2 linked regions of the Nothobranchius furzeri genome follow. The protein of the gene in region 1 purifies or fractionates together with the protein of each later gene. This does not show direct contact. Links are inferred from orthologs where the notes say so. Each region holds a gene or a part of one and is shown on either strand. Other genes may lie near its edges.

What was found.
Region 2: the proteins of flii (region 1) and lrrfip2 purify together in Homo sapiens (affinity purification with mass spectrometry; 3 studies listed by BioGRID and IntAct, with this or other methods). This does not show direct contact. The link is inferred for Nothobranchius furzeri from reciprocal best matches to the Homo sapiens genes FLII and LRRFIP2.

The regions. Positions count from the first base shown.
Region 1 is NC_091752.1:64,010,978-64,014,802, forward strand, and holds part of flii (protein flightless-1 homolog), read right to left. Parts: intron 2,766-3,825; coding exon 2,626-2,765; intron 1,666-2,625; coding exon 1,440-1,665; intron 1,319-1,439; coding exon 1,164-1,318; intron 1,086-1,163; coding exon 1,025-1,085; intron 952-1,024; coding exon 823-951; intron 1-822. UniProt on the Homo sapiens protein: Is a regulator of actin polymerization, required for proper myofibril organization and regulation of the length of sarcomeric thin filaments. It also plays a role in the assembly of cardiomyocyte cell adhesion complexes.
Region 2 is NC_091752.1:5,420,060-5,423,884, reverse strand, and holds part of lrrfip2 (leucine-rich repeat flightless-interacting protein 2), read right to left. Parts: intron 2,111-3,825; coding exon 1,978-2,110; intron 1-1,977. UniProt on the Homo sapiens protein: May function as activator of the canonical Wnt signaling pathway, in association with DVL3, upstream of CTNNB1/beta-catenin.

The sequences.
Region 1 (3,825 bases):
GGTCCCCCAAACGCCTTGATACGGCCCTGGATGTGGGACTGACTTCTGGGGTGATCTGATTCCATCACATGTGTAAATATTAAAAGCTTATATATTATTGCTTTTCACTGGTAAAAATGTGTATTGGGGATAAATCTACCTTTTCAAGTATTTGGTTTTGTCTTCTTGATTTTATTAGAAAAATTTCCTGCCCTTTCTCTCTCTAACCTTCCTGCATGCTGCATCTTTTCTCAGTCTTCAAGAAAAACTGTCCCAGACTTCCTGCTTTCTAACTAATCAGCCAAAGGGATCTTCACATGTGCGGCGCTCCAGCAGCAATGAGTTGAAATCACCGGGCGAGGGCACAGATTATGAACTCAGCTGAGGCAAAGCACGTCAGAAAAGTACAGAAAGTACCAGAGAACATGGGCTGATATGAACGATCACAAGTGGATTCTTCTGTTTTAGTGGAGCGATTTCGTGAATGTTACAGCGGCCGCGTGCAGGACGCAGCTGGAGTGTTTGAGCCGTTACCGCGGCGTCCTCTCTGCCCGCAAGGCTAAATCCACAAATGACGTAATATATGCAGATACTGGATCTTTTTCGGGCTTCCCGCAATTTAATGCGTCTTGTAATTACCGCGTTACTGACAGTTGTACCGAGTAAATATGACCGTTTTCTTTCCCTGTAATGCCTTACATTACCACATTACAGCAAAAAGCAATGCATTACAGTAATTAATTACTTTTGTACCGCATTACTCCCAACCTGGAGATGAGACCAATGATCTCAAAAAGAAAGTGGAACATGTCGAGTGTTAGCTCTAAAGCCGTGACGTCTGACCTGCTTGCTGTACGTGTCGTCAAACATGGCGTTCATGATGTCCTCGGCCAGTTTGGCCTCATCCGGATCCGCGGCCCGGCCCACCCACGTGTACACGATGCCCTGGTTGTCTGTGCTCTCAAAAGGTACCTGAAGAGACGAGTGTGTGAGTCGGAATGAGCAAGCCTGGCTCATCTGTAATCTGGGTTTTAAGCCTCCAAACCTTGAGGATGAAGCAGAACTCAGAGTTGAGATTACCGGAGTCCGTCCCAATCTGGATGGTCCTGAACAGCAGAGGCAGAGTCACGTGTGAGAGGATTCAGAGATGAGGTAAAACCCCGAGCTGGTGCGGGTCGGCCTACCTGGTGCAGAGGGCGCTGCCGTTGGTACGGATGTGGTAGAGGGAGGGCTGGGCCGAGTCCGTGTTCTGTTTCCTCTTCCCCTTGTGGATGATGAACCTCCTCTTGAAATGAGACAAGAACTTGAGGTTCTCCTGCTGCTGGGTCATCCGCACCACCTAAACAACAGGAGGTCACCTCAGAACAAACACCAAGCACCGGCACCCTGAAATATCCTAGTAAATGTAGCGAAACCGGGGGAATTCCAGGAAAAAAAAAAAAGTAAAAGTTTCTTCCTGCCTTCAGTTTTCCAGGGAAAAGACTCTCAAACTTCTTCTGCAGGGAGAAGGTGAAGGTGAGCCAGCCCATGTTGGAGGCCTGTCTGCCCTGCCAGAAGTACACCACACACTGGAAGTCCTCCTCAGGCTGTTTGTCCTCCTCTTCCTCATCTCCTTTTCCTCCTCCCTCACCGCCCTGCTTCTTCTCCTTCTCCTCATCTTCCTCGTACTCCACAGGAACCCAGTATCTGAAACGATCCAATCACAAGACACTGTGTTGTCTGGGAATGGGAGGAAAGTCAGCCGGTGTCGGTGCAAGATCGGCTCGGGGTCCTTCGACTGCCGATGACGTCAAAGTACGGCAAAGCCACTCGAACAAAATACACTACACATCTATACTCTTGGAAAGAATTTAGCAGTTTCGTTATTAAAATAATGTTTCTTACGACGTAAGTTTGTGTTTATAATGGTATTTGTAAAATAAAACACTATTTTATTCATAATGTTGAACTCCTCTTTGAGCACATCCCTTGAAGGATCATAGGTATTATAGCAACACCTGTGAAATTGTATTTGCAGGAAAGAAGTGTGTCCCGTTTATTGAAGTATTTTGTGTTTAGTTTTTGACGTCGTGTCCATGAGCAGTTCAGTTACGCTCATAGCTGCTAGCCAAAACTCTGGAGTTAAAAGTTTTCTGGCTTTACTAAAATACCTGTCTGTACTTATTTGATTGATGGTAGTTTTACTTTCTATTAGACTCCAGTTGTAATCATTTGGCACGTTTCTAATTCATAATTTGTAAGAATGTAATCGGTGATATTAGCATTAGCATTCCTATGGGTTTTTCCATGGATATTAGCATTGCGCTAACCACTCGCTACCAAATTGCAGCCTTTGCGATTAGAAAATCTCCTTTTGTCACATCGCAATTTAATTGCACATGCAGTTAATCGTTCAGCCCTAATATACATGCAGCTCTATGCTAAAAGTGTATTTTCAAAAAGTTAATGATGGATTTCTTTGTAAAAGTTGTCCATCTTTCCAACAGAAAATTTTGCCTGGACCAACGTAACGTGATTACGTAACGTCCGTAAGGTTCATGTTCAGCCAATCAACTACTTTGACGTCATCGGCAGTCGAAGGACCCCGAGCCGATCTTGCACCCGAGCAGATCTTGTACCGACACCGGCACTGTTACACCCGAGTACCTGCAGAGGAAAACGTAACAGTCCTGAGTGAAGAAGTGTCCAAACTCCTCCTCGGGCAGGCGGGTGAACTTCTTTCCCTCCAGCACAAATCCCTCCATCCCATCCAAGTCCTCGTTCCACTCCTCCATCAGCTGCTCAGCCTGAACATGGAGGACAGGTTTGGTTTACTGTTAGAAGGAACTTCATGTTTACGTCGCATCGACAGCCTGGACACCTTTAAAAAGCAGCTGAAGATCCTTTTATTTGAAATCGCTTTTGTTTATTTTTATTTGTTTTATGGACGTTTTTGCTTTTAATTACCCTTTTTTCATGTTTTAACTTGGATGTGATTTTCCTTCTTAGCAAAATAAATAAACTTTACTTACTAAGCTACTTGAGCCAAAGCTAACGCTACACGGTGGTCACTCGGAGAAAGTTTGGGTCGTGTGGACTCGTGGAGGCGGGCGAGCCGTCAATCGTTCACTCAGCATCTTCTTACATAAATGAACTAGTTCCTGTAAAAGTTCACGATTTTAAGGAGCGAATGAAACCATTGAAGAGGAGAGCTAGCGTTAGCATTCAAACTCAAAAGCTAACGAGGAAAAGGCTTTGTTCTTTTCTTAGATGTGCAGAAGTAACCGTCAAGCTTCAAGAACCAGATTTTTCTTCATCTGAATGAAGTTAAAATAAATGGTCTGTATTTGTACAGCACCTTCTTAGGGTTCGACAACCCCCCCAAGGCGCTTCACCACACAATCAGTCATTCACACGCTGGTGAGGATGAGCTACGATGTAGCCACAGCTGCCCTGGGGCGCTCTGACAGAGGCGAGGCTGCTGAACACTGGCGCCACCAGCAGGCAAGGTGGGTTAAGTGTCACAACAGCAGCGTTCTCTTGTCGGGGCCGGGATCGAACCTGCAACCTTCCGATTACTGGACAACTTGCTCTACCTCCTGATCTGCTGCTGTCCCCAAAATAAGAAGATATAAATCAGCTCCCTTTTAGGAAAGTAATCCTGAACGCGAGTCTTTGTTCTCCATCCCTTAAGGCCTGCAGCTCTGAGAACAACATTCTGTTCCTCCATCACCTGCTGGCTCCACCTTTAGCTGGGCAGAAAAGTCAGGACGCTAACTTGCTAATGCTAACCGCTGCAACCTTGTGCGTGCTTCGGCCAGCCTGTAATTGGAGCTGTAGGTGTTGTGGATCTGAGTTTTATAGATG
Region 2 (3,825 bases), about 59 Mb from region 1:
CAAACAAAAATTAAATAAAAAAGGAATCTCACTCCCTGTTAGAAAATGTTGCACCAAAAACAATAAAAAAGACCCAAAACAATAAATACAATGACCTATCCATTGTCAACAGCCAAAACTGCACTTCAATAATGATAATGAATAAAAATAATAATAGAGTTGTACATTTTTTAACTCTGATATATATATATATATATATATATTGAGGATGGAAAAATTATTGAGATGGGCACGTGACGTGTCAAGGGGTCTTTACATAACACCCCCCACCCCAAATCCGCACAAGCCTGCTGTGTCCCCCCCACTTCTGAAATCAAAATTTCGTCCCTGTGTACACGTGCTGTCTGTGCTTCCATGTCGGGTGTTTTTTTGCATTGGAGTGCTACACCCTGCTGGTGTAACCCTGTTAATGCCTTTTTTTCCCCTCCCTGAACTTTCCTCATGTAACACCCTTTTCATCTAACTATTAAGGTAGCGCGACTCATGTTGCGAATGACCGCAGTCACCAATTCTTGTTATGTGTCTTACCCACGTATGTCTGATCTTTGAATTGTGTGTGCTGAAACTGAATTTCATTTCTCTGTATGTCCTGCACATGTGGAGAATATGACAATAAATGACTCTTGACTCTTGAGATCATAGTATTTTACTCTCCAAGCTGAGGGATTATGGGATACGTGGAATCGCCCATGACTGGTTAAGTAGTTTGTACAGTTAGATGATGAAATTTCAGATACACTAGAGAATACACACGGTGTCCCACAGGGGTCAGTGTTGGGCCCTAAGCTTTTTATTCTATATATAAATGACATTTGTGATGTGTCCAAAGTATTACAATTCATATTGTTTGCTGATGACACGAAAATATTTTGTTCTGGAAATGATTTAGAAATTATTATTCAAAATATGGTTTGTGAAATGTCTAAACTTAAGAAGTGGTTTAATGACAATAAATTATTTCTCAATTGGAATAAAACAAAATTCATGGTTTTTGGTAACAGAAAAACTAACGATTTAGTTACGTTGGCTTTTGATGGTTTTTTAATTGATAGAGTAAATGAAGTCAGATTCTTAGGGGTTCTCTTGGACCATAAACTTACTTGGAAATCCCATATAAAATATATAAAACAAAAAATATCCAAAAGTATTGGAATTTTAAACAAAGTCAAAGGTTTTCTAGAAATTTCAACGCTTCAGACATTATATTATTCATTTATCTTACCATAGTTAACTTATTGTACTGAGGTTTGGGGCAATACGTATAAAACAAACACTAATCCTTTGTTTCTGTTACAGAAGAAAGTTCTGCGAATTCTACATAAAGCAAATCCGAGAGAACATACTAACAAATATTTTATTCTATCTAAAATTATGAAATTCAAAGACTTCGCTAACTTGAAAATTTTGGAAATTATGTTTAAGGCTAGAAATAATTTACTGCCAACTAATCTACAAAGGTTCTTTGTTTTGATCCCAAAAAATGATAAAGAGTAGAAAGAAACCAGAGTTTAAAAGGATATTTGTTCGTACTACATTAAAGCAAATGTGTATTCCAATATATGGTGTGAAATTATGGAATAACCTGGATGATGAATAAAAAAAAATGTACAACTACTGATCAATTCAAAAAAATGTATAAAGATAAAATGCTAAAATGGTATGATTTCGTGAGTTGACGATGGAGGATTAATGTTTTAGTAGTGATATTATTTGTGGAAGTAAGAGGGCGGTTTATTTTTTGTGTACAAGGCTATTTTGTACTTTTTGTTATTTTCTTGTCTTAGTTAAAGGGGGTAGGTCATGTAAGATTTTTTCTTCTTCCTTCCCTATTTCACTCGAATGCTTATATTCTGATTTGAAGTTTGTATATTTAAACTTTGAATGAAATAAATTATTATTGAATTGAATTGAATTGCTCATCACTAAAAAAAGGTGTAAAAGAAGATTCTCAGAGAGAAGCTGCACGGTCCCACTCACCTAGAGGACCCTCTCCTGCAGACTCTAGCACCTGGGCGGCCTCCTGGGAGACCAGAGTGATCCCTGGGGAAAGCGGCTCATGGCTGACGTCTCCGTTAGGAGTGCCGTCTGGGATGATGACTAACCCGTGTTTCTGAAGAGAAGAAAAAAGGTAGATTACTCAGTCTGGGAAAAGAGGAACAAAACTACTGGTGTTTCCTAAACGTTTCAGCTTCTATCCACAAAAAAAGAAACCAACTAAAGGTCAGAGTAGAAACAGCTTAAAGCTGGGAAGAAGCTTTTTACGTTACTTATAGAGAAAATGACTTAAAGGCTGAATATGAAACTATTTAAAGAGCAAGTTGCCCCCAGATCAACTTTTTTTCTGATAAACTATATAAATGCGTGTCTAATCGTGCTGCAGACACATGTAGTCACTAGTTTTGCATTTCAGTGCATTTTAGTTAAAATTTTAATTTTCTGCCTAAAACTAACAGTGTTGTGCCGTTGTCAGGTAAAAACTGCACTGCATTTGAATTTAAATCTGCCATCCCTATTGGCTAAGACGTACCCTAGAATGTTAGCTGGTACCATATGATGTCACAATGTCATTGTGAGCCTGTGTGTGTGTATTTGTTAGCGGCTCCGCCCTCTCGGTAGGGTTGAGCATCGATTGGAACCGGTTCCAACTGTTCATTTTTCCCAGAATCCTTCAAAGTTTTTTATTTCGATTCCTAGAATGCCGACCGGAAGAGGAATCCGCGGCCGATCTCCGTGAAAAATAAACGTGATCTGCAAAATGTGATCAATGCTTTTCAGAGCTGATCCCACCAGCTGTCTGTGTGTGTGCAGCACCGAGTCTCCCCTCCCCCCACCCAGATATAAACAAACACGTCTGCCGAACTTTTACTCCGTAATGTAAACTTTAACTCCTGCAGAGGAAACTTGTTAAATACGTCAACACGGTGGATTTAATGAACAAACTCTAGACTGTGTGAGGTGAGTTTGTCTCAGAAATAAAAACGCACATGGAGCGTCAGCAGTCAGACGCAGCCAGCTACATCTAAGTTTCACTTCCTGTTGTGACTGAATGCTGCTGCAGCATGGAGGTGTAGTTCTCAGTCATCCTGGACATGACCATCCTGAGAGTTTTAGCTGAAAACAGCTGGACGTTTCAGGATATGTTGGAGACATTTAGCCTCTCATCCCAGAGGCTTCTGAGAATCGGGAGAATTGGAATCGGGAATCGATAGGAACCGGAATCGAAACGAGGAATCGGAATCGTTCAAAATCAAATGATGCCCAACCCGACCTCTCGGTTTGCTAGGCAACAGCATTTGTTGCATTTTTCAAACAGGAAGTAGGAGTGGAGTAATACTCTGGTAGGGGGTCAGTTGCTCTTTAAAGAGCCAGTCACCCCTTACAAGAAGCGTACTTCACTCCCACTTCATGTTTGAAAAATGCAACAAATGCTGTTGCCTAGCAGACCGAGAGGGTGGAGCCACTAACAAATACACACACTCATGACATTGTGACATCATAATGTACCAGTTTACATCATAGCATACCTCTTAGCCAATAGCGGTGGCAGATTTAAATTCAAATGCAGTGCAGAGTTTTACCTGACAACGGCACAACACTGACAGTTTCAGGCAGAAAATTTAAATTTTTACTAAAATGCACTAAAGTGCAAAACTATTGACTACACGTGTCTACAACACGATTAGACAAGCATTTATATAGTTTATCAGGAAAAATAATTTATTTGGGGGTGACTTGCTCTTTAAGAAGAAGCTATATATTTATTTAAAGTGACAGTGTGTAGTTTCCAAATAAAAAAATTCACGTATCGGCAGCAAACCTGGCATC